3 linked regions of the Styela clava genome follow. The protein of the gene in region 2 interacts with the protein of the main gene of each other region in a pairwise test. Links are inferred from orthologs where the notes say so. Each region holds a gene or a part of one and is shown on either strand. Other genes may lie near its edges.

Region 1 (11,640 bases), on a different chromosome or scaffold from region 2:
GGTTTTTGTGACGATGATGGCTTATACTGAAGCAATACTACAAGATATGAAGAAACAGAAATTGATGGAATTGTGGGATGCTGGTAGGTTTGATGATATTTCATGATTTGTATTTGACATAGTTATTTGCTTATTCAGACCCTTTTACTTCATTAAGTTTCACAAATGCTTTTATGGACAATTTTTAACCGTGATTTCGCGACACCCTAGGATTCAACCAGTACAGTCCAGGGGTTTTGCAATTTTATAATTAAATCTGGAAGTTTATATTAAAAAACATACATCAGATACAGTGGCGCAACCAGGCCGTTTTCAACAGGGGGGTCCGACCGGAATTTACACAGTGCAACCACGACGTAAGTCGCAACGCCACTAGGGGTCGCCTAGGTGTCGCCCCGCTGGCCACGATAAATTGCTCATGGTTAAAAGGGAAACGCCATCGATTAAATCCCAGCCTTTCCCTTACCTTGCACTCGTTCATTAACGGCGCTTCGCTATGTCTTGCACTTCGTGGGTAGCAAAACGCTGTTCATTACATTCCAGCGAATTGCTAACGAAAAGGTGTTAATTATTTTCAACGTTTTCCTCGCTTTGCGCCTCGTGGATAGTAAAACACGGCTTGAATAAATTCCAGTGTTTCCCTCGTGCCGCGCCTTGCTCGTTGGATGAATTCGTCAAGACTAAAAACAAAATGCACTTCTTGCGAATTGACCTTTTCCCGACCCTAACCCCGGAAAAATTCTAAACTAAACTGAAGCTCACCGGAAGACATAATGACAATTGAAATAATTGATTTGCAACTAATTTTTGGAAACACAACTAAAAACTGACTAATTTAATGCAGGGATGTCCAAATCGAATTTAAATTCAAATATCGCAAACTTCAAATACTGTTTTTCGTGTTTATAATAATCCCAAATATGGCGCACATATCCTAGGCGTCGTCGTCCATGTGTGGTTCGGCAATATATTACAGCTGAAATGAAAGAATTTCGATAAACGCCGACTTGAAGAACTTATAAGACTTCGAGGACGTTTTTGATTGAAAATATTTTCTTATCGAGTATTTTAACTTAGTCGAGATGGTTTAGGCGTCCTCGGCAAATTGTGTCTTAATTAGTTGTTTTCATCCTCAGTTTCGATAGTGACCGAACATAACAGGAAATTTTTTCATTTCTTCTAATTTAGCGCGTATAAAATAGCTCTTAAATAGTATTTAATATCTATCGCGGATTTCGTCGGCATCCGGCATTGATAACAACATCAGTTCAGTTAAAGTTAGCGGTATTCATTTACAAACAAAAATACATAACAGCCGACATGAAATATTCAAATCAGCGCAGAATTCAATAATAAAACACGTTTTTTGGTCTTAATATGCACATAGAAAGAAGAAAGGACAGAGAAATAACGACTAAAAACTAAGAACGGTATGGTATGTTTGTGTACTTTTGTTTACCATCGTCATCATAATCGAATTAGTTAAACCCGATTCCCAAATTTCCGTCCGCCAATAATGGAGGATGAAGATGGAAAAACGTGTTTTACTTTTTGAGTCAGCGTTGATTTAAATTTTTCATGTTATGTGTTTTAATTTTTTGATTATAAACCAATACCTCCAACTTAAAATGAACGATATTGTTATCAACGACGTCAGGACTCGGGATAACGATAAAATCTCCGATAGAAACCAAATAATATATAGAAGCTATTTTATAGATTGCAAGAAATTAAAAAATTTGACTAAATTGAAATATACGATAACAAATGTAAAAAATTTTCAACCAAAAACGTCCTCGACGTCTTATAAGCATTTCAAGTCAGAGTTTATTGAAAACCTTTCACGACGACTGTTAGTTATTGCCGTGCCACACATGGCTGCTTTCGATTGCGATAAAAAATGAAATAATTGTGGAATGTTTTTAAATCAGAACGTGGACGGGGGCGGGGCGGTAGGATGTTTACGGCGTTTTCGGTTTTCGGCCTTTCATATGTAGAAAATCTTAGGTTATTCGAAGCAATATTTTTCCGAAAATAATTTTCGTATCCAGATTTTCAGAGTTTCTACTGCATTATTATAACATGAAGACGGGTGGCGTTACATTGCGTCAAGATGATAAAGCACAAGAGAGAGAGAGATAGCATTATGCTATTGTCGCTTTCAATTCGCATCGACAGCGCGCGATTTCTACTTTTTTGAGATAACATATCTCATTTTCGAATACAAACATATACGCGGGGTTAGCGATTATTACGTAACTATCAGCAAAAAGGTATGATTGAAGTCGGGCGGTGTTAAATTACGTCGAGGTGATAAAGCACTGGAAAAAAAGTAGTTTACACCGGATTGTTATGACCGTGGAACGACGTTGTTTTAACATAGAACAATAATAAAAAAAAAACGAAATTCAAACGGGGAGGACACGACCCCCCGTAACCCCCCAGCTGGTTGTGCCACTGATCAGATATAGTCGAGTATCTATCAGGTTTGCCACTATTATTTAACTTGCTACACTTAGAAGATTCTTTTGCTTTGTCAGTACCATGTTTGCTTTTATATATATTTATAACTCAAGATTAAGACAATAAAAGACAAACTATTTCACAGGGTTTCCATTCCGTTTGGTTGAGGTTCCGCTCTATCATAATAAAGCTGGAAACCGCTGATTTAGGATTATTTATTGCTTTCCAGATCAAACGCCAGTTGATTCTCCTGTTGAACTTACATTTGTTTTGGATGAAAAAATTAAAAGCTGGATAGCAGAGGCTACAACAACAGCTGAGAACCTCAATTCAAATTTTGATTGTTACTTTTTCAACTTTCATCAATTCGGAAAAAAAGCATTGAAAAAACTGAAACATGTAAGTACGGTACTTGCATGTGTATTCCATTGTAACACTAATTCCTATTTACAGGTGAATTATTGAATTTGGTTTACAACCATTTCTTGCCTTATTTTGAGAAAACCTTGCTAACTCAAATTTGGCTGATAGTTACGTAATATCATGCATTCACATTGGTAAATCTGCTACCACAAAGCGTTCATAGTTTTCAGAACTTTTATCTTGAAATTGATTGTGTTATATATCGCAAATATGTTCGTCTGTTTGTCAGCCTGTTACATAATAATTTGAATAGCCTACACTTAAGAGCAAACCTGCATGGGGTAATGCTACTATCCTACAAAACGGATTATTAGGAGGAGTGGCTAAGCGATAGTAATACGCTTGCCATCACATCTCTTATAACCTTGCATGGGTTTGCATCATGAGGGTAGATAATAATTTGCGAAGAAATTTCTCATTGTAGGGTGGTTAATGGTAACCGCTGGTCGGTTACGACTATCTCCACCATCAAATTCATCTGAAACAAATAACTGGTCAAATTTTTGATACCAGTCATGAACTGGTAACCAGACGGACGGCCATATCATAACGCGTCTTATCAGCTTCCCTCTGAAAATTGTTATCCTAAAAAACTAAAAAAATGTTGATTACTTTTTCCAGATTCATTCATGTGCATTTGCACAGATTTGCATTCAACTTGCTTTTATGAGAAAACATGGCCGTCCTGCTCCGACTTATGAGACTTCAACAACTCGAATGTAAGGATACTAATTTATATTGAGTGCTGAGCAGGTGCTTGGACACTTTTCAATTCATCCAGGGTGAAGAAGATTGCCGGACATCTCACCACTGTTGGGTGATCGGTTACGGCTTCCTCCACCATGTCGATACATCTGAAACAAATAACTTCCCATCTAATCCCATAAACGACACGAATTGGCAGCTGAACGAGAGGCTGTAATACACCTTAAGCCTCCTCATTGGCTTTCTTCTGTCTAGGAATAAATGAGAAAATCATTCCCTATCTCAAGTCCAATACTGATTCTAAATTCCACAACAAAAATATCAATAAACTACACTTTATTTTCCAGCTTTTATCGTGGAAGAACAGAGACCTTACGTACTTGTACCCATGAAGTTGTTGAATTTTGTGAAGCAATGATTTCTGGTTTGAACTTTTCGCTCTTTAATAATAAAGACGTATCGATAATATCAGTTATTTTACTGATATCGGTATAAGCTAAAAATAATATAATTTCTATACATGGAATGATCATGTGTGGAGCATTCCTGCCTCATCAATTTCTTCAGAGTTGGTGAGTGATGGCTCATAAAATGAATATACATATATGTATGTCACTATGTATATTAGCCGGCCTGACATAAGTTTTCTAATCAAACGTTTGCTATAAATTGCTTAATATAAATGCTGAGCATCTTTGCAAACATACAAAGTTAAAATGTAATTGACAATGCGTATTGTTTTCGGTCAGATCTTCCAAACAAGGAAGAATTGTTCATGAAGGCCTGTGATAAATATGTTTGGTTGATGGAGGAATGCAAAGCAGGAAGAGGATGTGATCGACATATGCTTGGTATCGCTGCGATAGCAAATGTAAGATGCTTTTTATATGAATAACTTTGATTAGTTTTTTTTTCAGATGAATATAGTGTAATGCAGTGGTTTTCAACCTTTTCAACAGTGTGGAACCCTAACAAAACATTTCGTTGGTGAGAGGAAGCCCCTGGGAAATGGTTTAAGTGTCTCTTATTCTCTTGAAATGCAGCAAGTTTACCAATATTGGTAGCCATAATTGGTGTTTGATGATATTCAGTCAATATATATATTAACATAGATTCTCGGATCTGAATGGAAACCCTGGGCTGCACTGCCTGAAAATCATGTTAGTTCATTTCAATTTTGCAGGAAAATGGTGAAAAGCTACCTAAAATATTTTCGGATGCTTCATTTGAAAAATCTGGAGGAAATGGAAACTTTGTTCTTTCAACAAGTTTTACAGGATACACCAATGTGAGTATCAGCACACAATTTTTTCTACGACAGATCCAAAAAAACAGAACACTTAAATTTATTAATAACTTCTACAAAAACGGAGAAAATTTATTTGACAAGCGAACTCTGTGTATGATTGTACCCAAAAGTTTCAGTAATCTACGACAGGGTTTCCCAAACTTTTTGAGCCGCAGACCCCTGTTTGTGAATCTTATTTTTGACGCACAACCGTCCTATGCCCTAATGATTCCTGTTCCTAACCAATGAGGAAGGATAATGTTTCATTTAGAACACAAACGACATTATTGTGATGGATGAAATTGCCTTTCACTGCACAATTTATCGATTATCGGAGCAATTTTATGAATGAAACTGCGGACCCCAGTTTGGGAAACCCTGATCTAGGACGTTTTGCACAAAAGTTGTGCTCTTCTATAATCCAAGATCTGTTTCTTTGTGTCGCCCTGTATTTGACAAACCCTATAGTCCAACTCAAGCAAATATGCCAAAGTATTGAGTAATGATATTGAAACACAGTAACCATTCATTTCAATGGCTCACAAGTGGTAGAATGACATGGTTTGCTGCCCAACAATTTTCAAAGGCCCCTTCCATGATAACCCTATTCAAATGTTGAATGTAATTTCAAACTTCTCACATTTTTTGCAAAGTTTGATCTACATTTTGATTTCTAATGACTGCTCTACTCTCAAATGGTAGTAAGTATGCTTTAAGCTTTCTATTACATTTTATGTAGGCTGCCGGAGGGGTTGTTCCAATGCGAGATGATGGATATGGAACATTCTATAAAATAAACAACAATTATATGACCTTTGTTGTCACGACGATGAGAACTGGACCAAAAACAGATGCAAAGGATATGGCACTGCAGATTGGAAAAGCTTTACAAGATGTCTTCGATTTGATGGTGAACAATTATTCACGTCTGTAATTTTCAAGTTTAATTATTTCAAAAATTTTTTAGTAACAAAACTCTATGCTGTTTATACTATGATATAGGTGCTTTAATTCTCTTTCTGTTGTACTTTTTTACAGTAACCGTGACCAGATTGTACCAATTTTCTTTGTTACATATATTAATCATACAATTTAATTGTTTTGAGTTGGTCAATGGCATTTTTGCTCTGAAATTGTCTTATTCATATATTCCTGGTCCATTATTCTGCTGATGTTTTTTCATTTATCCTTGAACCCCAATGATATTTATACACTTTCAATTATAAAGTACCTGGAAGGGATTTAGCATGATGGGGTTAGATGTCAAATTTTCTTTGTTTTATTTTACTCAAGTGATGTCAGTTACAGAGTGTAATCAGTAATATTTGATGAATACTGTATACCATCAGTGCCCCCCAAGTTGGCAAGATATTTTTTTATAAAATTAAGCAAATTGCTACAGTATTAAATACTTTAATATTATGTTCTAATTATTCCCAAAGTTATATTGGCTGAATTTATACGGTTTTAAAAATCAAATTTTCGATGAATATTTTTGTCTGTATATTAATATCATATCTATCATATTTTTCAATTCTCTAATTCTTTTTTATTATCCACTGTTCGATCTATGCATTGTAGCAAATGACCGTTTAATGGCAACTAATCCTCGTGAATGGTGAAATTATTATCATTGGCTGCTGTAATCATTATATATGCAATAATTGATTATAATATATTTGAGTGATGCTGTGTTGACTAAAGTGTAGAATGGAATCCTATGAACTATCAGGAATTTAAATGACTTTCTGACGAGGGTGTAGATGTAACTCTTTGACAGTTTGTGCCATACAATTCAATCAGACATAAATACAACTGGGGGGAATTTAAAATGGGAAAGGTGAAGTTGTTTTATTGGGCCGGTTTTGTTGTTGTGAAGTGATCACCTAAATATTTTTTTGTTTTCTAATTCGTGAGTATCGTCGAACATAACTCGTGTAAATCGGAGATATGCAAAGTAAATGTGAAATATGACGCTTAAGTACGCAACGAGTAGCGCCCGCGCATCATGGTTTCTGCCAATAGACTATTCATTCTTAGAGACTAATAATTAAGATACGCGTCTTTCCAAAACTGAGTGAGTGTTGAGGCCCTGGGCTTCAGCCTGACCGAGTGCAATGGTCAGTGGCCTTGAAGTTGGTGCCATCACAGGAAAGTACCGGTATACCGCGAGATATTGTGCGAATCACGGCTTCTTTGTAAAATGCCTAGTGAATTATCGGGGTGCAATTAGACATGATTGAAGACGCGCAGCGGAGGGTGAGGCACGATGGCGCACGAAATGTCGTAGTCTGCGCCATTATATTCTTCAAAAATATTTTATAAATCAGTGGAATGGGTACTGGTACCGGTAGCGTGTGCTATGACCAACCTAACAATGTTCAGTAGTTTATTCGCCGGTTACCGTATGCCATGATATTTGTGTATATACTCAGTCCACCACCGATAAGATCTGAGGAGTGAGGATTTGTTTTGGCTTCTTGTCTTGACATCTACTTGGGAACTTTTACGCATTTTTCTATTTTGGAGGAAAGATCGGGAGTATATAGACTATTGGACTACAGAAAAAAAGCAATATGGCACCTCCCAAGTCGCGAAAAATTGCTATAATGGGATACCGATCAGTGGGTAAGGCTGTGAGTTGGGTTTGCGTTAGACAGTTCTGCAGTTAAGGCTCTTTTTATTATTCCAATTTTCAGTTTGGCAATTGCCCTTCATCCGTACCGGTACCGGTACGCCTCTCTCTACTTTTTCAATATACAGATAAGTGAATTTAGTGTAAATTTCACAATCACTAAACTTTAAAATTAATAAACATAGGGAAAGCTTTTCAAAATAATCATTTCTTCATTCTTGTCATAAATTTTTCTCAAAATAACATGAGTTCCAAAGTTTTCTGCAAACATCTGTATATTCTGTACAATAAACTCATTGTAGTTTTTTCAATTTGTGTTACAGGGAAGTCGTCCATAACCATTCAGTTTGTTGAAAATCAATTTGTTGATTCTTATGATCCAACAATAGAAAATAGTAAGTTCTGAACTAAAGTTTATCATTTTTATTTATTGACTGGTTAGATTTCTTTGTTCCAACCATCAATAATACGCAGATACATTACTTTAAATATAGATGAGCACCATGCAACTATGCTATTCAATGCTGTATACCAAACTTCTGGATTTTTATATTCAAATAATTTCATAATTAAGTAGCCCATTTGACTTTGTGATCAACTATAATTTATGAATTTGAATTATCAAAATAGGAGCAAAATCATGATATTATGAAATATTTACATTGAGTACATTTTTAAACAACACTAATTCTTGTATGCTGTAGTTAATGTTTCCATTTCTAGATAGAATTAAGCCTGTTTTAATATTTTCAGAATAAAGCCTTTTCTATCTGGTTTGTGTATAAAATATTAAATTATTTTGTTAATTCATGTATTTGCAGCATTTACCAGATCACTGAAAGTAAATGGACAAGAATATCAGTTGCAAATTGTTGATACTGCTGGACACGTATGTTTGTCAGTTTATATTATTTAGATTGCTAGATTTACAGGATAGTTTAAAAGTGTACAGTGTTCCCTCTAAGGTGTGCGCGTGTGCACGCGCACACAGCTTTCAGAGGCTGCGCACACGCATAGATTTACTGCGCACAGACGTATTTCGATGTAATGTAACAATTTTCTCGGTTGGCAGGTTGAGAAAGTTTGTTGTTGGCCCACCCATTACCCGGTTAGAATGCCAAAATCTCTTCATTGGTTTTTTTCCAAAAAAGTGCGCACACATCAAAATTTCTGCGCACACATACTACAGAAATTAGAGGGAACATTGAAAGTGTAACACATGAATTACATATCTGCGATTTTGTTTTATTAGGGAAGGTTTGTAACTGAACTGCCCTGATCACAAATTGTTTTGCTCAAAGTCATTCTGCTCAACTAATAGTAGCACCCTACATATATTGAGATACTCAAATATTTTTTTCATTCGGTAATGTTTTTTTGTTTAAAATAATTTTTTCGTTTTTTTCCAGGATGAATACTCATTGTTTCCAGAAGCTTATACTCTTGATATCCATGGATATGTTTTAGTGTATTCTGTTAATTCAAATAAAAGGTGAATGTTAGTTATCGAAATAGCCAAGTATTGAAATATGTTCTTTGTACAGTGTTAATACTAGTACATTAGTTTTCAATCCATTATCAAAGTATGGACTGTAAGAACTATTACAAATTTTTTGAAATACCAATTATTGTGTTGACTTAGCTGTCTAAATTGAGTAAAGTTTGCTACTTAAAATGGAATTTTATTTTATCAATATGAAAATTCTATTATTATAGTACACCAGTATAGTAAGTACACCTGTTGTCATCATAAGCCTTACCTTTTGAATGTAATTTAAGGCACTACGTAACCTTTAAAAATATTTGACATGTTCTCCACATGAAGCTTCGAAGTTGTCAAAGTGATTCATGAGAAACTACTCGATATGGTCGGCACTGTTCAGTGAGTGTTTTGTTATTATTTTTTATAGGTTAACATGGCATAATAGAAAAAGCATATTTCAAAACGTCTATTTTTCTTTAGATTTTACAAGGAGATTGTTTTTTCGTTATTATTGTTTGTGGATGACCATCAACATCAATTCTTGTATTGTGTACAATTTGTACATTTATTTCATTTAAATAGTAATGAACCCAATATCTATGCAATTTGGGAGTTTCTCAAAACTGAAAATTTCCTCATTTTATTGTTCTCAGAGTTCCAATTTTACTTGTCGGAAACAAAACAGATTTACACAATGATAGAGTTATATCAACGGATGCCGGGAAGAAATTGTCTCAATCATGGGGCGCTCATTTCCTCGAATGCTCAGCTAAGCACAATATGGTATGTGTAACAATTGTTTAGATCAGGGGTGTGCAAACTGCGGCCCATGGGTCAAATGCGGCCCACGAGGAAAAAATGTGCGGCTCACACTGGGAAGTATTTTGGATGGTGTGCCTGCGAAACGAGTTTTGTAGTTTCGATAATCTGGCACATGCGAGCAATTCCAATCCCTTCGCGTCGCAAACCCTATACCTTGATTTACTAAATAGGCTGTTTCATTTTTCAATTATTTGCATTTTTTTTATTTTATCCGCGAAAAATTTATAGATTGATATTTTTTGTAGTACAGATAAAATCATTTATCAATATTTTGAATGGATTGCACAAAAGAAGCACTAATATTTCATTTCAGTTTACAAAGTAATGATATTTCAAAATATTTTGTTATACATGGTTTAAGACATTTAAAATTACTGATGTACAGTGAAAGTTGTAGATAAATCAAAAATGCATGCGCCTATGCATTAAATATTGAATAAATAAAGAAGTTTTATTCATAGCGATGGAATAATGAAGTGTTTTAAAATAGGCAGAGGAAGGAATATGACGACAAAGATTGGGAATGACTGACCTATACTGTAGTTTATTAGGTTTCTTGAATATTTTGCAAATCTCAAATTTCTTGCAATGTGTGTCATTTTCAACAGGATGTGCAACAGATATTTAAAGAAATAATATTGGAAATGGAAAGACAAGAAGGGAATATACCTGAAGAGAAGAAAAATTGTTCAATATCATGAACCAAACGCGATAGGAATAAACTGGGTCGTTATCTGACAGAGGGTGAATATCGCTCCGCTTGGAATCATATTTTTGTGGAGGGAGCTAATTCAATTCCATGCATGATTAAACATATGTAAAAATAATATTCTGGAGTGATGGTTGTTGAACCATGACTATTTATTCCATCTATTTTAAATATGATTGTATTGTTTTTATTTTAAATACAATTTTTTTTCTATTGATATAAAGTACCTTGAATGCTTAAACAGGTTTTCTAGACCTAACCTTATTTACTTGTGACCAATGGGATATTGTCTGTATCATGGTACGAGAAAACTTTCGATAATCTTGTCTAATTGTATGTTTGTAAGTATTCCTAAGAGTATATTGTGTAATATAAGAACAATGTGTAGAAATTAGATATGTTTCATTTTGAACGGCGGTGGCGTTATGTTTATTATTAAATGTAATACTTATATTCATATTCATTGTTCTTGTAGACTTTTTGGCCATGTTTGAAATTTTCATTGCAATTTTCTTTGATCGTTTTTTTCAAATTTTTGTTATCACGTGCACCTAATCCGATTTTGTACTGTACCTAACTATAAAGATGTTTCATAGTAAGTATGTTTGGCATTCCAGTTCTTGAAATTTGAAACTTGATGTCAGTCTTATTATTCTATTTCCATTTCTTTATTGTGCTATTCACTGCATGTGCTAGTTTTTCAGTGGTAACGCCTGCTTTTATTGTCCACTCGATTTCAAATATATTGGCATAAAGTTTTAATTTTATCTCCAATGTTCATTAGGGAGTGGTTAGTTTCAATAGCTGCGGTAATCAAACTGATGTTTATTATTGAACGTAAATCAGCTATACGAAGATAGCAAGCTATATTAAGCAATTTTCATTAAATCGTAATGATTTTGCATCATAATTCCAACTATAAAACATGAATACGAAGACGGGAAACAAAATCTTTTGACATTGGCGAACTTAAGTTATTAAGTAAACATGTATTTCGACGGGATCGGATCGCCACTTCCAATTGTCTTTAAAAGTGGTTGGATCAACTTGTTGCTCAACTGGGCAAGTGCAGTTTCAAGTATTTTGTGGCGTCTGGAGCTGCCGCAAAACCA
Region 2 (11,716 bases):
ATACATACATCACATTCCACTAAAACTTGTAGGGTCACATTTTTGCCAGAACAGCCATAGACTACTTATAACACTATTACCCCTGAAGTGTGCATACCACACCCTTTAAACTTGACCTTTCCCCCGTTTTATAGTATGTGGTATCATCACTCAAATGGCACCGGTATTGTACTATATTTACATGCAATGTGTTTCATGTTGTGTTGTGTCTCTATTTATAGATGTTGTTTTGTTACACAAACTCCTTTGTACAAACAGTTTTGTATACTCCACCCTAACCTCTGCTACCACACCCACCCACCCACCCTCCTTGCACAACTGTCACTAAAAAGGACCATATTATACATATTTAATTTACCTTATTATAATTTATACATATCAAAAGGGGTGTATGCCGCACATTCAAGTTTTAGGCCAGTATTGTCTTGTGCATACATACTGTCTCAAGTATTTATAATTACTAATTCTTTTATATTGCTTTTACGAGACGAATAAACATACATACAGTTGCACGGGCATAAGTGAAGGGACATAACTAGACCTACCATACGTCCCGGTTTGGCCGGGACAGTGCCGGTTTGGCCGGGACAGTGCCGGTTTGAACGTCTGTCCCGGCGTCCTGTCCCGGTTAGCAATATGTCCTGGAATTTTACTTTAGTGAAATTTTCAAAATTAGCTCCAACCTGATGCAAAATTATGAAATAATTCCGTCCCAAAAGGCATAACTTTGCTTTAACTTGCTGACTTGAGGCTTATTTTAATATCTTAATTTTTTTAGCTTATTAGGTTGAGTAAAATATCGGGGTCTCATGTAGTTTCGTACCTAACGTACTTCTAGTGGGCGTAGCTTGACAATTTTTTGATATGTCAATCCTAACCCCCATATGATTACGCCATCCAAAAATTAAATCACTACGACATCACAATCACGTCATAGAGCTTGCCAAATATACGCACGATCGACCGGAATGGCATTGGCGCCGACGATAAAGAACTGACTGACGTTATCGGTCTCTCTCCTATTTGAATCGTTGCGACGAGAAAACGAGAGAACTAACTGTTCGATTTCATGTGCTCGTTTGCGCATCTTGGATGGCAGTTCGTATAGTTTGAAGGGCTCTATTACGTCACTGTGACCTCGTAATGACGTAATTTTTGGATGGTGTAGTCCGGTGGGGGTTAGGATTGATACGTTAAAAAATTGTCATGCTACGCCCACTAGAAGTATGTTAGGTAAGAAAGTACATGAGACCCAAATATCGCACATAGCTTGAGAAATCTTTTAGTTAGGGAATAATGAGTGACGTTTATTGCGTCATTATTCTATTGACTTCAATGAAACTACAGCAATTGCTGCATTAGAAGCCATTTTAGGTATGCTCCAGACTGGATTCCATGGCAGATGCACGCCCGAGGGCGCTAGCGCTCCGCAAAAATGCACGCGAGCGAAATCAATTTTGCACGCCGAAAATTTGCAACTGCTCACCAATGTAAATCGGTTTAAATGGTTTTAAAATCAATAATCCAGTAATATAAAGATGCCAAAATATTATAACTCCACAATTGTCGACAAATACCAGCCTGCAAGATTAGGTCTGATCGAAATACTGAGAAGCAAAAAGACCATGGACCTTTCCCCAACCTTTGACCCGCGAAAAATTCCTCTCATTGTTACGTCCTTTTTTGCATCTTGCTGATTGGCCAATGTCACGAAGTAAACAAGGAAGTCGATGCTCGGGGAAAGGTCCATATCGTGTTGAATGATAGGAAATAGGAATCCCGTGAGAATAGTTATGGACGAAAAGATCGCCTCTGCACCAATGGCCAAGTACGGCTCTGATTCAGCGTATTTTTCATAGAATAATTTTACACGAATGTACTGAACAGTACACCGGTATCTAAAGTTGCTCAAACACTCCCAAAATTAGTGACAAAGTATGAAAATAATGTTTGGGGTCAAAGGTCAAACGTCCATTTTGCTCTAATTTGACGTATTTTTTATCCATTAATTCTACGTAAAAACACTACCAAAATTAATGACAAAGTATGTCCATTTTGCTCTGGTTCAACGTATTTTTTATCCAATAATTTTACGCGGATGTACTGAACAGTACCGGTATCCAAAGTCGCACAAACACTATCAAAATTAGCGACAAACTGTAGAAATAATGTTTGGGGTCAAAGGTCAAACGTCCATTTTTTCTCTGATTCAACGTATTTTTTATCCGATACCGGTAATTTTACGCGGATGTATTGAGAGGTATCTGATGTCAAATATGGTACCGGTATGGATTAACCTATATTCAATGAATATAAATTGGACTATATATGATACAAAACTCCGGTAATGGTATGGTTTTATATTTTAATTGTTACATATATTATTGAACTTGTGGGCAATGTGTTTTGAAATTATGAAATTGTTTTAATTGGGTGCAAATTATACTAATTCGACAATAAAATTAATATACGAAAATTCCGTTTGGCATTGGAATTTATTTGGCAAAAAAAAAAAAAAAAGGTATCTGATGTCAAAGTCAGTTGCACGCGAGTGCAGTTGTTTTGCACGTCGTGAGCTATAATTGCACGCCAGGAATTCTTATTTGCACGCGGGAATTTCTGATTGCACGCCCGATTTCTCGTTCAAAAAGGCCATGAAATCCAGACTGGGGTACCGGTATGCTTGGAGTTGGAGAAGGCATAATAACTTTCATTTGATTTTGTTTAAGTCATATTATGCTGCAAGTAATCTAGAACTTGAGATTCTGTAGAGTAATGTAGTACAGTAGTACAGTAGGCTAACAGTACGGTGAATAGATTCTTTTCACATACTGACATGGACTATACCGTAAAACCGGCTAACTTCGGATGCCTTGTAACTTCGGATGAAATTTTCAATCATTCATATCTCAACTAAATTTCGTCGTATTGCGCTTCTGTCGGTTTCTATAGTAAGGCCTTACATATCTGAATCTGCCGTAGCCTCCAATCGCTCGATTTGATTTTTTATCATTCGAAAAATCATATTTTACCAAAAAAATGACACCGTTTTTTCGAGCGGCTCAAATCGTGACTTCTACAGACGCTACCTTCGTCAAATCACCGCCAAGCGCTAGAGAGCGTACACAATGTATACAAAAAAATACAGTGATCACAAGGTGTCGTACGAGATTCGAGTGAAATCGATTATTTTGATTTAAAAATTACATCAAAATATCGACGTTTTGATGATTACGTACAGCGTGACGTCAACGACGCAAATCCCGTTCTCTCTCTTCGTAGCCGACGTCACTTTGCGTAGCTTGTGCGTTACTCGCTGCGACATTTGAACGCCAGACATCGCGGCGCCCAGTTTTGTGAAATTTAAAAATTATGCTTATCCATGATCCTAGTCACTAAATCCTACAAAAACATCACTATCGTCTCAGTCATATGTTGTTTATTTAAAAATATGGCTATGCATACGCTTAATGCATATGAAATTTGTCGATTTTTGTTTTTGCATACTTCCTCCGACACCGATAGATACCGTAGCAATTGGTAATACGTTAGGCCTGAAACATGTATCTATACGATCATAATGATTAGATATGTCTGTTTATGATCGGCAGATGATAATAATATCTTTAACAGGTGAGCGTAGAACTCTACATACATGCACACAGCAGGAGGTTGGACCACATACAGGTGAGGCGCAAAATGAAAAAAAGTGGCAAAGTTTCTTTTTGCCGTTTTTATCCGTTCATTGTCATTTGACTTTATTAAGTGAAACGAAAGCGAGGATCGAAAGTCACACCGGGCAGGAACCTCTGCCGAGCCGATCAACGGGGAGCTCTGAGACAATCAGAAAATATGAAAAGTGATAATCAAGACGAAACCTGCTCTGCTTGTGGATTATGGAATGATCCAAATGGAAGTACGGAAATTGAGGATGAATGGGTCGGTTGCGAAAGCTGCAGCGAAACACATTGGTTCCACAAGAACTGTTGCAAAGACCCGTCTAACCCATGTGGAAATGATTACAATTCTTGATTTTGCCAGCGTTTCCTTCAATTCATCTGTTTATTTTTAACTGTCGAATTTTTGTTCATACCTTACTTGTTCCATATTGCTTTTTGATTTCAATTTTTACTTTTGCCAGTGTTTCATTCGATTCATCCGTTTATTTTTAATTGTCTAATTTTTGTTCATTCTTTACTTGTTCCATATTGCATTTCAATTTCAACCTACACCAGTGTTAGGTACTTTCAATTCTTCCGTTTTTTTTTTTGTTAATCCTTTTCTTGCATTGAAAATAAACGATCATAAAAGAACGAACTAGCATTTTGCAATAAATTAGGAGTAGTTAGTGAAATATATACGAGTTATAATAAAGGACACAAGAATAAATAGTTAAGCTTCGCGAAGCGGCAAGAGTAACGTCACGTAGTAACGTCACGTACAAACGTCAGTATTCAACACGCAAGACAGGTCGTGGCGGCGTAAGGTCTATTCAGCGACGTTGTCACGCGTCATTGCTTACGCAGACATTTCTCTCTCACGACGAGTTGACGCAAAGAGAAAAGTGGCCATCCGAAGTTAGATAATTTTAGAATAGACGAATAAAGACAATAATTTCAATGAAAAAAGGCTTTGATGGATATGGAACCGACTTTATCAAGACGAGAATAGCCACAATGTATTATATTCCAAATTTGGCTTCAGTTGAACAACATGCGGCGGAGATATTGTTCAAAATATAGTGAAATCATCCGAAGTTAGCCGGTTTTACGGTAAGCGCTAACTGAAGTCTGGAAGTAGTTTAGTTTCCTTTAAATAAAGTGATAAAATACTTCATTAGGCAATATTAAAGCTTATAAATATAAATATGGAATAAAAATTTGCCAAGCTCAGGCCTTCGGCCTTTCGCCCAGTAATTTCATTCATAGTTTTGAGTTTGTCCCGGATTACGTTCGGGAAATTATGGTAAGTCTAGTCATAACGGTATAATTAAATATTTAATAGAAAGTGAAGAAAAAAAATCCTCAACTTACCAGTAAGTATATCCTTAAAAACATACATCCCGAATGATTAATTCCGATTAAAATAACAAAATCCAACGAACAAAGAAATATAAGCAATCGAGGGAGAGCTCGGTTGAAAAGGATCGGTGAAACGTCAAACACAAATTATGCTGTTATATCCCATGCGCATAAAAGACAAAGTGTACGCATAAAATGCAAACACTGAATTGTTTTCGTTGTTTTGCGTGGTTTCATCGACAGTTGATTTCTTCGTTTATTGGACACGTTAGTGAACATAATAATCGTTTTGCATCATTGTTGGACACGTGTGTGGTAGTTGAATTGAACACGTGTAGTCGAATTGTCGATGACAGTCACTGTACCGACATTTGTACCCCGATTCAGCTGGTGTTAAGTTGACGCATGTTATTTAGTAACGTTTTTATGTGAAATGTTTGACTCTGGTTTGGTACCTGATCCGGCAATACGGTACATAATTGTCTCATATCACAAGATATTTCAATTGATGTTTCAATAAAATCAAGAATAATGGATCATTGTCACAGGATCCAAAATATCTATGACAGTCCCTGTACCGTCACGGTAACCCGATACAGGTACTGGTAAGTTACCGCATATGATTTTTGGGGATTTGTTCTGCGTGCCCATATATTTGAGCATTACTCTCTTGTTGGACACTTTAGTGGACATAACGATCATTTCAATATTATGTTGTTGTTACTTTTCTTATTTTTCTTCGTCACCATCATTAATATAAAATCGCTTTTTTCTTCGAATACTGGACCAATTGCTTCGAAATTTTCAGTAGTTAAAGTTTTTTTTTTCGATTTTTTTTTTCAGAAGGCTATTACATTTATTTATTCCTAAATTTCTTACGAATCCTATCAGATCTGATATTTCATTCAAAATTTCGCTGTCCTAAAATTTACTCATGGGAACACTGTTTTAAACTTATTTCAGGCGGTTGCGTGATCGAGCTTGCAGGTACGGTACTGCTCAGTTACCGTATCACAGTGAAATTGACTTATTGGACACGTAGTGGACATAACGATCGTTTCAATATTATGTTGTTGTTGTTCTTGTTATCCTTGTTGTTGTTCTTGTTCTTTGACACGTTTTTAAAAAGTCGCTTTTCTCTTCGAATACTGGACCAATTGCTTTGAAATTTTCAGTGGTTGAAGATAAAATTTTTCTCCAGAAGGCTATTACTTTTTTTTTCGCTATGACGTCATCAAAATTATTGCCATTGGGTGGCGCTACGTGTCCATATATTTGAGCATAGCTCTCTTGTTCCTTTCGCGATCTTACTATTGCAGTAATGTCAAATGTAGGTTTTCTGTCAAATTTAACCTACCGTATATGTTAATTTTGATAAGAGCAAATTGAATTGATTTTTTATATGCCAGAGAAGAACCGTTCCACGATCGAATAGCAGGCCTACAGTAGCCTACAGGCAACAGGTACTGGTAAGGTACCGTACGGTACGTCTGTGAATTACGCTCTCTCTTTTCGTTACAGTTCTGATGTAAACAACATAAATCATTACCACAGGACATGGAAGAGTTATGACAGTCCCCGTACCGTTATTTGTACCCAAGTACTAGTAAGTCAGTTACCATAGCCATGTACCTGTTTCACTGTTCAGATTCGTGCAGTTTATCGTACCGAAGGCGTAGGGTATCTTATGGTTTTCGGTGAAGTGTTGATAATATATTTCGTTTTATTCAAACTGTCCATATATTTGAGCATAGCTCTCTTGTTCTTGTTGTCTTCTTCTTCTTCATATCGTTTTGAAAAAAATCGCTTTGATTACTGGAACAATTGCTTTGAATTTTCAGTGAGTGAAGATTATATTTTTCGCTAGAAGGCTATTATTTTCATTTATCGCTTTTTTGTGTGCCATGACCCCTTTAAAATTTGCCACTATGCGGCGCTACGCATTCATATATTCGAGCATGGCTCTCTTGTTGTTCTTGTTGGCCACGTCAGTGGACATAACGATCGTTTCAATATTATGTTGTTCTTGTTGCCTTGCTATCTTTGACACTTTTTGGACATCTGGTGGAAAATCTAAAAACCGCTTTTCTCTTTCATTACTGGACCGATTGCTTCGGAATTTTTACTGGTTAAAGATGAAATTTTCTCCAGAAGGCTATTACTTTTATTTATTTCAAATATTTCTGTTAGCTCTGTGAGATTTGTTTTTGTTTGCTATGACGTCACTGAACGTTCGGCGGACGCATAGCCGACACTCCTCTTCTTTTTGATCACGTGACATCGAACGTCGATGGTTCGTAACGAAGTCCTTACGTTACTTTGCTACGATTTCTTCCTTACGCTGATCGACTGTACGGTAAACCGTACTGTACTGCGAACAGACGTGTTCATATATTTGGGCGTAGCTCTCTTGTTATTCTTATGTTCTTTGATACGTTTTTAAAAAGACATTTTTCTCTTTGATTACTGGACCAATTGCTTTGATATTTTTAGTAGTTAAAGATGAAATTTTTCTCTAGAAGACTATTACTTTTATTAATTTCTAATATTCCATTGAACTTTATGCGATTCGTTTTTATTCTGATCTATGACGTCATCAGAATTTGCCACCACGTGGCGATTCCGCAAACACATATTGATCACGTGAACAGGTTCCGTGGTCAAGCCTGCTGATAAGTTACCGTACCGTACCACAGTGAATTTCAGCGTAAAGTGTTCATATGTTGGACACGTTTAGTGGACATAACGATCGTTTTGTTGTTATGTTGTTCTTTGATACTTTTTGAACACCTAGTGGAAATATTAAAAAACCGCTTTTCTCTTTGATCACTGGACCAATTGCTTTGAAATTTTTAGTGGTTAAAATTGAAATTTTTCTCCAGAAGGCTATTACTTTTATTTATTTCCAATATTTCTGTTAGCTCTGTGAGATTTGTTTTTGTTTGCTATGGCGTCACTGAACGTTCTGCGGACGCATATGCAGGCACACCTCTTTTTGATCACGTGACTGTGGTCTAGAAATTAGAGCAGGGGTCGGCAACCTACGGCCCGCGACGCTTCACTGAATTATAGTAACAAAACAGCTATTTTGACGATTATATTCTTCACGTTACACAATTCATTGTGAGACGCGTGTAGACTAAATTATATTTTAATCTAACAAGTATAAAATTCACAATTACTCGTTTAATAAGCCTATAATTTAATTATAATTGGGCAAAACGCAGAAAAGTTGATGCTAAGTGCAAATGGTTCGATAGCGCCGAAAATATTCAGATGGAATTTTTGAGATGTAATGAGGAAACAAAATCTATACTCTATTCTGAGAGATGTATCACTGCTTGATTTTTATTATAAAAAGTATCATCCGTTAAGTTTTCAACTTTCATAAAATATGTGCGGCCCGCCGAAGACTTGCAACCCCTAAATATGGCCCACGAGCGACAAAAGGTTGCCGACCCCTGCTCTAGAGGTACGGTAAACCATACTTCACTTGTTGTGAATATATTTGTAGACTGTGGTCTAAAGGTACAGTAAACAGGTACTGTACTGCTTCGCTTGGTGTGAATATATTTGTAGACTTTGGTCGAAATGCTTCGCTTGGTGTGAATATATTTGTAGACTTTGGTCGAAATGCTTCGCTTGGTGTGAATATATTTGTAGACTGTGGTATCTGCTGTTATAATACCGTAATAAATCAAATAATTTAGTTTTGCGAAAAAGAAGCGTCTGGCATTACAGGTAGGAGGAGAATAGGGGGGTGCGCATTTCCAATAGCCTACGTCGATATTATGTTTGTCAATCAATTTGCAACCACCGTGTTTTTGTCTGTTTGATTGCTGTGATGTGGTGCTTTGTTTATAATTTGGCGAGTTTTGTTCGAATTAACCGTGTTCTTAAAATATATGACGGTCAGAAATGCAATTAGAAGCCCAATGTTTTTAATGATAGAGAAGTTCTGGTACCGTAACACAGCGCTGTGACACTGAACTAACTCGTAGCAGTCAAAAGCTTGAAAATCCATACAAATATAAGAGATAAAAATATGAAACTTGGCAGGTGGGTAGAGTTGTGTTTCTTTTAACTATCTTTGAAAGTTTCGCGTTTTTAGATTTGAACGAGGGGAAATAGGGAGGTGCGCATTTCCAATACGTCGATAATATCTTTGTCAACCAATTTGCGACCACAGTGATTTGTCTGTTTGATTGTTGTGATGTGGTGCTTTGTTTATACAGGTACTGGTAAGTCACCGCATATGATTTTTGGGGAATTGTTCTGCGTGTCAATATATTTGAGCATTGCTCTCTTGTTCTTATTTGTATTTTTCTTGGTATCGTTATGAAAAAATCGCTTTTCTCATCGATTACTGAACCATTTTCTTTGAAATTTTCAGTGAGTAAAGATTATATTTTTTGCTAAAAAGGCTATTACTTTTATTTATTCCTAAATTTCGTATGAAATCTGATATTTCGTCCAAAATTCGTTGCACTATTTAATCCATGGGAACACTGGCTGTCCGGTTTGATTCTTTAAATTCTTGCTACGCAAAACTCGGAAATTTTTTGAGAGAGATTTCAAACTCTTTTATAGCCAATTTTGGCAGGAAATTCCCAAAACGTTTGAGAACGCGCGCCCAGCACATGGCCATGTTATGTAAGATAATCACCAGACAGGCATTGTGACAAACAAGGGGATTCTGGAACATATATTGTGACATCACAAAGCGATAGAGTTTTAAAAACACTACGGAGATGCCTATACGAAAAAGGGTGATGAGTATCGTAGATTTCAACTTGGGCTGCGTGTGAGCAACCGTTCAAGGCCCGCAGCGATTACATGCAGCATCAGAAATCACATTAAATGTATATTGACATTGTATGTGTTGACTTTTGAGTAAACATTTCAGGCCTGATTAAGTGAAGAAATGTTATATGGCTCGCACGGAAATGAAATTGAAAATATGTATATTTTATGGCTCTCTTGACCAAAAAGGTACCCGACCCCTGATTTAGTGCTTGTTGTTCACGCTAGCCTAATATCGCATTTTTTTACGGTCTACTGATTTTGGCATACTGATTTTGGTCTTGGATGGTCCTACATCCGGGGCTTTGCTCAGCTGCTTTCTAGGATTTTCGATGTGAAGTGTGCTTATCTCAGTTTAGGGTTAGTAATGCTAAATTTTGTGGGTTTCTGGCCTATATGGGTTTCATCAGACAAACTTTATATAGATGTATGATTTTATATTGTTGCAGATTTTGTTGTGCTATGTACGCTGAACGTTGTTAATCGTTTGCTATAATACCGGTAACTGATATCTCAATTTTGCATTGTTGTTTGCCATCTTCAATCTTTACAAAGAAAATTACATTGCTGCATTGGTTTTCGTTTCTACAACTTGGTGTTCTGTGTGTTTCACTGGATTGGGTCATCGCTGTCAGTTTTTCAGTTCAAGGTAGACGCATTTCAACCAGCAAACTGGCAAACCAGAGAATTAGGCAACATCAAATCTTAAATTATCAATAGAAAACGCTGGCATCTCAAGGGGTCTGGCGTGGGATAGTTCTAAATGATCACTGTCCTGAACATTAAATTAACAACGAGGTACAAGTTTAACTAAAGAATTTAAAACTATATCGTATATAACAATGGCTGAAGATTCTGCACCGCAAATGCAACATGTGATCTCCTCTGGAACACCAGTTGCTAAGCATGACGATGCAGGCTCAACTGGTTCAGCTCATTCTGTTATTTCTAATGAGTCTGTGCGTGCAGAATACAATCTAAAGATGGCTCAACTCAAGTTGGAGCAATTTGATCAGGAAGAGAAACTAAAATCTGAGCTGTTAGAAGCAGAGAGAAGAAAAGCTGCTGAATTGCAAAGATTTCGGCTTGAACAAGATTGTAAGGAAGCTGCTCTTATGGCTGATGTGGAATCTAGTGATGGTTGGAAGTCTGTTGACTTGGCCAATACAGCTCTGGGAGATGCTCAGAGGCCTGTGGCTGTTGGTTCCTCAAATGTCAAAAGGAGAATATGTAAGAATAGGTTTCCTGACGAATTCAATTCTACATCACCTGAAATGTCAGTTCAGGAAAAAGTTCATTTTCTGGGAAATGTTTCTAGACCCAATCAAACGGTTAGTCCATGCAAAAATGTTGACAATTCAAAGAGTAAGGCTGAAACGCAATTCTCTGAACATCTATACAAATTGACTCAAGCGATGCAGCAAGGCTTTTCACTTCCTCGTGCTAAACCATTATCATTTGATGGTGACCCTTTGAACTATTTTTCATTCATGAAATCTTTCGAAAATTTGATAGAAGGCCAGGCATACGATTTTCGCACTAAATTTCAACAATTAGAACTTGCATGCATTGGTGACGCTAAAAGGGTTATTAAGCGTTTTACCTATGAGGAAGATATCGAAACTGCATATTATTCTGCTTTGAATGGCCTAAAAGAGGAATTTGGTCGCCACGATCAAGTTATTGAAGCTTATCGTAAGAGTTTAACTGAGGGCCGTGTACTAAAGATGAATGATCTGTCTGCATTGCGGGAATATGCTTCTGAATTGAAAACATGCCTTGCAGTTTTAAAGGCATGGAAAAAGCCAAATGCAATGGATTTAAGTGAATTTCTAACTAGAATTTTTGCACGTTTGCCAGAAGATCTTCAACGAATGTATTTTGCGGAGCTC
Region 3 (10,785 bases), on a different chromosome or scaffold from region 2:
AAATCATATTTTATAGTGTTTTTCAATGAGATGGATGAGACACATCAATGAGACACAATCTAATATCACCCCGTTTACTGATGGAAAGGCGATTTCTTGTTTTGATAATAATAGAAGCACGGCTGAAAATCCCTTTTTCACCATATGAGAGGTCGGAAATGAAAGGATCCAGGGTTCTACCTCCTCAAAAACCGCCGTCCTAAATTCACCCCATTTCACATTAAAATAATGAAAACAAATTTAATTTTCTCGAACTTTTAATAATGATTTCCGTACATCTCATTCATCCATACAGCCTGATGACCTGTACCAAAATACATTATATATAAAGATTTTCGGTAAAATTCATCATCGATTCCTCATCGTACCATGGCCTCCAGGTTATAGAATTAATCAGCCATTCGTTTAGATTCCTGGACTCGGATGTGGCAAAAGCCGTGATTGACTATCGGCTACGGCCCAGGGGTCGGCAAATTTTATGTCGCTCGCGGGACAAAATTAGGGGTTGATAGTCTTTTGCGGGTCGCATATATTTTTTGAAAGTTAAAAACGGAACAGCGCGCAAAAACTGCGACAATTCATGAACTCAACTCAGTCGTCTTATTAAAAAAATTATTACAATGGCATTTGATGTGACACTGTCTTGTTGCTGCATCACGCTTAATAGCCTTACGACGCCAAGGAACAATTTCTAAATGGGCATGACTAATCCTAGTTCTTTGCTTGTTCTTTGTAATGTTCATTTTCGAAAATAATTGTTCGCACAATATTTTCGCATGGTTTTTAAAATTTTGATAAAAATTTTCCTTAGAAAGATACATTTTTACAAAAATTAGGCAGTGATGATTCTCTCGAATATAATATGAATTTTATTTCCTCATTGCATCGCAATATATTTGAATATTTACTGCGATATTGAACCCCTGCACTCAGCATCAACTTTTCTGTGTGTTGTCATTTGCCTAATTATAATTAAATTATAGGCTCATTAAACGAGTAGCTGTTCACTAAATTGTTAGGATATGCTATAATTTAGTCTAAACGTGTCTCACGATAAATTCTGTTACGTAAAAAATGTAATTTACTCTTGAGCGTAGATTATAAATAAAATCAATTCATTGTCAAAACGTCGTTTTGTCTGCGTATTGGATTTTCCCCGGGCATAGACTTTCTTGTTTACTTCGTGACATTGGTCAATCAGCAAGATGCAAAAATAAACGTAACAATGCCCCCTTTTGCATCCGCTCAGACGCTTTTTTCGCTCAGACAGATTTTCAGGCGTGGTCGTAAACATTACCTCAATTTCTCTGTTTTTGAATTAGATTCGTTTGTTTTTAGTTGTGTTTCGGAAATTTAAATAAAAATCAAATAATTCAATGATCACTTTGTCTTCCTAGGAGTTTCAGTTTAATTGTAGTAATCAAAAATTAAAGTGAAAATAGCTGTGATAGACTAGGCTAAAATTCTTTACCGGTAATTTAAAAAAATAGATTGTTGAATGGTATGTATTCGAATGATAGTTTGAAATACCCCATTTTACAGGCGACAACTCGCGAAACCACTCTTAAAATAAGCACCGAAAATTTTAAAATGGTAAAGCATAGAAAGAATTTTCCGGGGTTGAAGGTCGGGGAAAGGTCCATTTAATGGAGCGTCCGGCCGTATTTTGTCGACCAATAAGGTAAGCAAACTACCGTGCCTTACGGCAGCAATTCTTTCGTGTGTGATAATTGCCCACGTGATTCAAACCTACGAAAGCACGCAGAGTACAGTAATCAAGTGCACGATGCGCCGAACAAAACCAGGTTTCGCGAAAATAAAATAGAGGAATTTGTTATTTATGTGGGCTTCCCACCCACATACAGTTACAAATCATGTAAACCGCCAGAGTTTCACCCAACCAGTAATATTGGCACAAAGTTCAACAACACAAATCACTGATTAGCAGGAAAGCAAAAAGGAGTGAGCATGATTGATTTTTCAAATATAACTAAAGTAATGCATCACTTGAGGTTTCATATGTTTTACACTGTAAAAAAGAAGTTACTATAGTATGAGAAACTGACCGATCCATCTTTTCAACATCATTTGGCCATTTAGTTAAAACAGCATCTTGAACTCTTTTTAGAAGGCTTGCTTTTACATCATCATTGACAACAGGATGTGTGGTCATGTCGAATAAAACAAAATTCTGTTTTGAAGTTGTTAGAACTCCTTTCTCAACAAGGTTCTTGGCAAGGCGTTCCCGTACATTTCGTAATTGATATTGCAATTTTAAAGGATTCCACGTTTCTCCAGACAGCAGATCTATCCATCCCTGCAAAATATTAATCATCGGAACAAAGTTACAAGATTGAATCTGATAATCTTCATTATCAAATACCCACTCATCACCGAAATGAAAAGTGTATATTGTGCAGTTGGTGCTATATGTTTTCAATAAGGGGGTCTGGTTATTTGAGTAGTTTTTGACGTTAGAAGCGATGTAAAATTAATTCTCTATGAAATTATGGTTTCATTTGTAACATTCTAACTCTGTACTTTCTTGTGGTTTAAACAGTTTGAATCTTATTCAAGTAGTCATAAAAGGCTTTTCTTTTGTAACTCAGTATACTCAAATTTTTTAGGATAATATTTAAAAAAAACTGTATAAAAAAACCTTGAAATTAAATAATTTGGCACCACATCAAATTTGGAACGATTGAACTCAATAATGGTTACCATAAACGGGCATTCAGTTCGAATATTAGTTCACCTCTTCGACTAGGAATGGGTGGTTTGATTTAGCCAACAATATGCTTGATAGAGATATTTTCTATGTCACTATATTGGAATAAAGCAGACACAAATCCTCTGGGCTCCTTCATAGACTGGTGTCATACAAAGTTCATTATATACACATCGGACCATTCGAAGAAGGAATTCTCTTCTTTTCGTTGTTGGGAGTTGTTGTTTCAGGAAAAAAATGAAAGTTAGTATAACTGGAAGTTTTTCATCGGAGCAATTACATTTTTTGAACATTTCAGGTGAAATCAAGGAATTGTGAGTATTCTAATTTCTAGTATTTATTCCGCTTGACATCTATATATTGGATATCCAACGGAAGGAAATTTAATTCAAAATAGCACCTGCGCAAATGTTGCCCGCCCAGTAATTTGCATCCTGATGTAAAATATTTTCAAATATTATTAGACCAAAGAACAATGTATACCTGAACTGATTCTTCTGTTTCTCCTTTCTTAATATGTGTCAAAGCTTCATCTAAGATAACATCCCCAGTAGGTGCGTCATTTTTACATCGTACCTGGAATTCAGAGTTTTGCGTAAAAAAATGTGTACGGTAAGTAAAAAAACAATATAAAGAAAATTTAGTCTAACAACTCTAATACCTAAACCTCAATTCCCTAAATAAGTGGTACAACTTCAGGCTTGCTTGCTATGACTACTATAAAATCTGTTCAAAATGAGTAATTAAAAATAAAACTTCTAAAGATTGGTGAAGAGATGTTTCTGAACCTTCCTATCCAACAATTTTCTTTTCCTTGCTTGTTGCCTTTCAAGCTGAATCCTTCCACGCAAAGCAAGTTCAACCAGAATGCAACCTCTTAATCCTGATGATATGCAATCATTCCAAAATGATGTGTAACCTTCACGATCTTTCAAACCCATCAGAAGAACTTCTTCCATTAAAGTTAATCGCATAGACTTGTCCCCACTATCAGACATTCTGAAATAGAGTATGCACACAGTCAGTAAAAACACAGAATAACTAGCGATGGGTGTCTGAGGTCTCTATGTTAAAATTGAAATACAACACCATTCAAATAAAGAACAATGAACATGAAATAAAAATGCACAGTAGGTTGTAGCTATTGTTTACAATTAATAAGTATCCACGATCGGTGCAATGTGTTAATAAGCGACAAGAACATGCTTACTATTGATTGTATGGCTGATCAGTAGGGCTGGTTATGATTAACCGATTTTACACACCATTCTGAGTTTCTGACGTATATTTACTTGAAAAATAATAAAAAACACTTTGTCTACCGCAAATATATCTCCCATGGTGTTTAATTCAAAAGAAAATCAACAACTCAATTGATGAACAGCAGGAAAATGCAAAGAATAATTTAGAAATTATTATTGCCATCAGCTATTTTAATTTAACACAAAAAAAGCCAACAAATGAAAGCAAAAGAATGCATTACGGTGAAATAAACAAAAAAATCGTTCTCAGTTTACTCTAAATTAATGCAGTTATCATGAACGGTGACCTAGTGAATATCTGTTCTTGACCTCCACAATGCCGCTCTGTGCCCTCCTATATGTGGAGGGATAATTTTGAGAAATTCTTGGCTAGAGCATTTCTGATGCAATAGATATAACGTAGGCAAAATGAACTAGACATAAAAATGAACTACAAACCTATCATCATCACTTTTCTCGTCATCACTACGACTTTCTTTCTTTTTCATCTGGGCTGCAGCCATAGTAGCTTCTGTCTTCCGTTGAATGAGCCCAGAAGACATGATGATAATCTTGTGTATTACAACTTCAAATTTCCTAAACCTCAAGTAAGCAATAAAAAATTACAGACTGTATGTTTTTGCAGGTGTATCACATAACCTATATTATATAAGTCATCAGCTGTAAATGAAATTGGCATGTCAAAAACAATTGCATAAAATTGGTCTAAGGAGACTAAAGTTGTAAAACAGGAATAAACTCATTCTACTGTTTAATAAGAACTAATCATAACCACCATAACAATTTACACACAAAAAAATGTGTTCGATCAATGCTGTAAATTGCCTGATGAGGCCTGACATTGGCCACAACAATTAAAAATCATAATTTGTGAATATGTGCAGCATTTAAGCACGGCTTAATAAGACTAAATAAAAAATATTCATATTTGCTATAATACACCAATTGAAAAGCAATAGAGAAGAAATAGTAAGTCTACAATTTATATTACTACAAATCAACTACAAAGATTATTTGAGTTACTGTAATTTTTACCACAACTTTGTGAAACACCTTTAGACCTTTGACTAGGTTGCTTCTGAAATAAGAAACTTACGGTACATACTGTTTGGAACATGGAAATGTAATTTCGCAGTTAATCTGACCAAGGACATACTACTGGTAATGAGTTATATTGTTTCTCGAACATTATTAATTTGAAAACCTCAAAACTTTTTTTAATGCACCAGTATTTCATAACTGTGTAGTATTCATTGATGGAAGAAACCTTTTCACATTGAGGTGTTATGAAAATATGCTATGGCTAAGATAATATAAGAATCATTATTCTCAAATACAATCTCACTGATTACGATAATGATATTCCCTGCGATACGACACAGTGTAACCATGGATGAACTGACAACTATTATATTGTTATATATATGATATAAATAACTCTAATATTTTACTCTAACTGAAGCCTAATACATACTATAAGTCATTTAAAAGCTCAATAATTTCATGGCATAGTCAAGTAGTGCAATTACAGTCTTCATCTTAAAATTTGTCAACTAGAAATACCAGATTTTGCCTGAGGGGAAAGATGTGTCACAAGTGATGATAGTTCATGTTATAAGAACAGATATGTTCCTTTGCCTCAGGCACTTCTATAAAATATTACCAAATAAGTTGAAAAACCAAGAATGAGGAATTGTTCCAAACTGAAGAGTCTGAGCCCTACAAAACATCTTCTTTATAGATTAAAATAAAACAGAACTAACAGAATTAACTTGGTAATGAAATAATGACATTGATACTGTGTCATCTTAACCAGACAAACTGACAATATGGATAATGGTTTGCGGCATGTGTATCCTACACTGTGTCTGCAAACTAACAAATTGTCAACTCAATTGCAGAACAAAGCCCTATGTCTAGTACTTTATTATACCGTGTTTCCCTGAAAATAAGGCAGGGTTTTATTTGAATTTTCTTTCGAAAAATAACACTAGGGCTTATTTTGGGGGGATGTCTTTTATTTTCATTTCCTTCGGAATACTAAAAACATGTTTGCTAAACTCAGAAGATAAATAAACTGCAGCTCATGAAATAGCAGCAACTAGGATTATCTCCATTGTTACATAACAATAGAGGCAGACACTACCTAACAGAAAGTAAACAACATAGAAAGGTAAAAATGAATTCACTGATTTATATACACAGCATTTAAAATAGGAAACAATAAAACATTATAATAAAACGATATGTAAAATATTCAACCATATAGTACTGTAGCTATAACAACACAATTCTGTTAATTTTCGGGGCGTACATAGCAAATTTTGAGAACCAATGCCATAGGCATAAAATTATTTTGGTCAAACATACATAAAATGTTCACTATACTTTCTCAAGGCAAGTTAAATCATATATGACTGTAAAAATATTCCAATTTTCAGAAACCACACTGTTTTAAACCACTTATAGCTTGAAATATGTCATGATTACCGTAACTATTAAAAGCAACCTTAATCCATATCTCTGATTTTACCTCTGCATCTGTTTTAAGTGAATGAATTTGAAATTCGTAGTTTATGATCCTAATGACAAGAAGAGAATATATAAATATTCTTGCCTAAATTCTGCAGGTTATTCAGTTGATTATACTGGTATATATTTAATCATACCTTGTACTTCGATTAGAAATTAAGACAATAATGTTAAAATGTATTATTGGAAATAACACTCCAGGACTTCTACTCCAGGATTTCAGTCATAGTTGGCTAGTTTTATTGCTTCAAATTGATGATTTTACATTATCTCTATGCTTTCGAACCTCGTAGAATTTTTTATATATGATCTTCAAACCAACTGGTTGTAATTTTTATTCAAAAAAGTATCAAATGAGCCAGAAACTTCAAATAAATACACGTGGCATATAGAGTTGCAATTAGAATTTCACTTGATATTGACTTATTGCAATATCCACAACAAATAGTTACTTTGATTCAATTATTCTTATGGAATTACAATATTTCAAAATAAACCCAAATCTTTTTTCATCATTGAAAACGTTTTTTCATCAATTAAAACAAAAAATTCTTTGCAATAAATTGGTAATTTTCTCCATTAACTGAATCAGCATAATATGCTGTTTCCTGGTGTATTGAAAATAACATCAGAGGTCTTTCCTGTTGGTTTTCCCGAAATATGTTATCCTGAATTGCTATTTGATTTTTGCATGCTAAACTTGCAATACGTTTAGGACAAATCTGACAAAGTAGGCTATGTTTAGTTAATCTAGTCAATATCGCCACTAAGCTATTATTTTTCAATCACAATTACCGCCACCGGTACCTTATTCAACAATTTCATAATTTAATGTTTATAAAATGAGAACAGCAGTGTTGGCCCAAGCTCTCAGGCATAGCATAGGGTGGTTTACCTATGTTGCGTTACGACAAATTCCAGATCATTGACTTTAATAACCTAACATAATTAATATTGAAAAAATATAGACGGGTGATGTGCTACCCAAGTTTCCAGAAACCCAAATTTCAAGAAAAAAACATAAAAATGATAGCAAGCAATAGATTAATAATATTTAATCCAAATAGCTGAGTACTTTCCTTTGGAAAGTTGTCGAAAACAAACAAAAAACCATAAGGGATAATAGGCTAAAACATAATACATGATTGGAATGTGGGGATTTTTGAATTAGATTTTTATCACTGGTTGCATTTATTATCGATATTTTTGCGATTACTATAACTCACAAAAAAGAAACGATTTCTAAGTGTCTAGCAACTTTATCATGATGGTTTAATTGTATTGAATCTAGTTAGAAATATAATATATCATTGATCGTATTCTCTTTAGATAGGTCAAATTCTTCCATGCCATGTGTGTCTATGTATGACATCATTTTGCTAGTCTTGATACAGTAGATTCAGAGCCCTGAAAAGTCAAACTGTCAGTGCAGCAGTGGTTGTATTTCAGTATTTGGAGTGTATAATGCAACTAACTACAGAACTGACTTTGAGTGAACATTTCAGAGTTAGCAAGTTCAGTAGTTACGGTTTTTGTAGCTATGGGAACGAAGTTGCTTGTAAACTGGATGAACAACTTTAGTACACAACTCGTATAGATCCTGAAATAAATCCAAAAATCTCAGCGTGCAAAGTGTGACATGCCAAACCCCTGAGCCTGTGTGCAAACTTACCAAGATTGTTTGTAGATTGTTAGCGTGCAACTGACAGAATGGCCCCATTTGATATAAATTTGGACAAATAATTTTTAAATTATTTAAACGGAACATGCCAACTGGTGCTTTGAAGCACAGTCCTGTCACGCAAGATGGCGATGTTGCGAATTTCGCATAGGTTAAATAATCGTAACAAACAAACTGTGATAAACAGTTTTATACAGGCGAAGTAGTTTTTGCGCTTGCTTTTCAAGACAGGCCATTTAGTTGGTAACCAGCATTTGGCGTGGCTTAGTCAGGTGGGGGTTATTAGGATTGACACATTTTCCGAATTTTCTCCCCTTCAATTGATTTTTGCTCACATGCATTTTTGAGAGCACAAGTCTACTCAGGCGTGTTGCGTTCACCTGCCACGGAATCAAGTTTAGCATAGAAGTCTGGAGGTACATACAGACATAAGCAGATTTATTAAATGGATAAGTTGAGCATATGGCAGTATGGTACGGTACTGTAGTAAGATTGAGATATTGGAGTATGGGTTCTAATTTTTTAAATGCATGTGCGTCACGGCAGGTACTGACTATCGAAAATTTGGTACCGACCGGTACCGGTATGAAATCAGAAGGCTGGATGTAATAAACTGGAATACGTTTATCAACATCGTGCGAGGCTCGGTCGCTAGCGGTAAGTTACCATATCATTTTCGGATTTTCTCTTATTGAAGATAAATCACAAACAGATCTCGATTTTATTATACAACGTCTCTCTTTCGATGAGCAATGTGACATCCCAGCATTCGTCTAACTCGGTAATTTATTAACATACCGGACTACCGGTTCTGTACCGTACCAGGGGCCCCGACTAAAAAAGGTATCACAGGTATCAGTTTTAATTGACTAAAAAGGTAGGTATCAGTCAGGTGCGCAGCCAGGATTTTCAAAAAGGGGGAGGGGGGTTGAAAATCGGAAATTCCTTCCATTGCCGTCTGTCACGGTCACCGCGATTGCGCGCTCGTTAAAAGAGTCGCCCTTTCAGCGTATAATGGTTTTTCTGTTGCATAAAATATTCAATTTATAATAACTACGATGTTCTAAAATGTCCTAATATAATAATTTAGTTGAGTCCAACGTAACGGTTGCGTCTTCTCATATCAAAATAAAAACATCACTCACGTAAAATACCACGGCGATCTCTGGATATAAAAATATGTGAAACTGCCTAATGCATTTAATTTTGATACGTATTTTTGCAATCTTGCGGCGAACTCGTTATAGCCGTTAGAAAAATCTCAATAACTGATATAAAGTCCGTAGAGTACAATTTTATTTCAAACAATGAAAATACCTGTCTATCAAATAAAATACAAGTATATCAGTAAATCAAAAATACATATTTATCGCCTCGGAATTCACGTGGAAAAGTCGCCGCGATTACGCCACTTGTTAAAAGAGCTGACTTTTTCAACGAATAATGACTTTTCTGTTGTGCGAAGCAATCAATCCATGACCAATACAGGCCTATTTGATACGAGCATATCCATACATACAAGCATATTATTATATTACCACTCAAAGGTGCTGTATTTGCGCCTAAATTTTGATTTCATTGTTATGAATATATGTATATTTGATGTTGTGTTGTCTCTATTTATATATATTGTCTTGTCTTATAAACTCCCAGGGAAGAATAAAAACTAAATATCCAAAACATATATCTTTTATTATTAAAACCTTTTTGATTTATTAAATTTTCATTTCTCTTGTTTCGTTACTTACGTTACATTGGTACTTGCGTTACACAATATGACATTGAATATTGAAAACTTTATACAACCATGAGAAATAAAAATGTGCACATATTGTATGTGTAGCTATCTACAGGAAGATGGTGTATTGCTAAAAAAAAAGAATTACAGTATTTTTTTTCAGATAAATAAAAAAATGCCCAAAAAAATGTACTTTCGCTACATTTAAATTGTTACCAGTAGATTGCGGCTAATGATGCCAAGAAATAGTATTATACAAAATTGAATTATTTTTTGGGAATGGTTATGCCACTCCAACATATCAAATAATTTATGGTTTTTCATGATACGTCATTAAGGCTAAAACCCCAAGATTGTTTCAATGACTTATGATGGCGAAATTTGGGGTCAATGCATCACCAACTCTCCATGACTGTCACATTTTTATTTGTCCCTGTAGGTTTGTTATAAATTGCGTTCACAAAACTCCAAGATATATTCTATGAAAATTTTGGTTGTTTATGCAGGATTGATCACTTTTATTTTTTTCTAATTTGTCCCCATTTCCATGGAATTGCCCCCCTGTATATACAGTTTGTATACTCCACCCTTACCACTTTCACCACACCAACCCACCCATTGCCCCACCTTGCACAACTGTCTATATAAGGGAGCATATTATACATATCTAATCTAATGTTTTTTGTTTCATATTTGTCAAAAGAGGTGCATGCCGCACATTTGTGTTTTAGGCCAGCCAGGTCTTGTGCGTGCATCCCGTCTTAAATAATAATAATTGTTCATTTATTTATGTATCACTATTACGAGACGAATAAACATACATACATACAACACTGACTCCGCT

Evidence for each region.
Region 1: the proteins of translationally-controlled tumor protein homolog (region 2) and GTP-binding protein Rheb-like interact in binary tests that used the Drosophila melanogaster proteins (3 or more experiments, as listed by UniProt). The link is inferred for Styela clava from reciprocal best matches to the Drosophila melanogaster genes Tctp and Rheb.
Region 3: the proteins of translationally-controlled tumor protein homolog (region 2) and Golgi phosphoprotein 3-like interact in binary tests that used the Drosophila melanogaster proteins (3 or more experiments, as listed by UniProt). The link is inferred for Styela clava from reciprocal best matches to the Drosophila melanogaster genes Tctp and sau.

What each region holds. Positions count from the first base shown.
Region 1 is NC_135252.1:17,679,795-17,691,434, reverse strand, and holds GTP-binding protein Rheb-like, read left to right. Parts: upstream 1-7,183; 5' UTR 7,184-7,455; coding exon 7,456-7,507; intron 7,508-7,837; coding exon 7,838-7,909; intron 7,910-8,335; coding exon 8,336-8,403; intron 8,404-8,923; coding exon 8,924-9,006; intron 9,007-9,339; coding exon 9,340-9,396; intron 9,397-9,650; coding exon 9,651-9,780; intron 9,781-10,427; coding exon 10,428-10,520; 3' UTR 10,521-11,290; downstream 11,291-11,640. Other genes in the region: peroxisomal carnitine O-octanoyltransferase-like, read left to right, coding at 1-83, 2,693-2,862, 3,508-3,605, 3,939-4,015, 4,341-4,462, 4,775-4,879, 5,619-5,813. UniProt on the Drosophila melanogaster protein: Binds GTP and exhibits intrinsic GTPase activity. Activates the protein kinase activity of TORC1, and thereby plays a role in the regulation of apoptosis. Stimulates the phosphorylation of S6K through activation of TORC1 signaling.
Region 2 is NC_135256.1:19,373,094-19,384,809, forward strand, and holds the start of translationally-controlled tumor protein homolog, read right to left. Parts: upstream 5,191-11,716; 5' UTR 5,062-5,190; coding exon 5,034-5,061; intron 4,230-5,033; exon of another isoform or gene 4,033-4,229; coding exon of another isoform or gene 3,767-4,032; intron 3,688-3,766; coding exon of another isoform or gene 3,591-3,687; exon of another isoform or gene 3,119-3,590; intron 1-3,118. Other genes in the region: uncharacterized protein LOC120327874, read left to right, coding at 3,591-3,687, 3,767-4,032; uncharacterized protein LOC120343863, read left to right, coding at 10,667-11,716. UniProt on the Drosophila melanogaster protein: Involved in calcium binding and microtubule stabilization.
Region 3 is NC_135252.1:1,473,895-1,484,679, forward strand, and holds the start of Golgi phosphoprotein 3-like, read right to left. Parts: upstream 4,666-10,785; 5' UTR 4,533-4,665; coding exon 4,429-4,532; intron 3,728-4,428; coding exon 3,517-3,727; intron 3,305-3,516; coding exon 3,212-3,304; intron 2,318-3,211; coding exon 2,067-2,317; intron 1-2,066. UniProt on the Drosophila melanogaster protein: Phosphatidylinositol-4-phosphate-binding protein that links Golgi membranes to the cytoskeleton and may participate in the tensile force required for vesicle budding from the Golgi.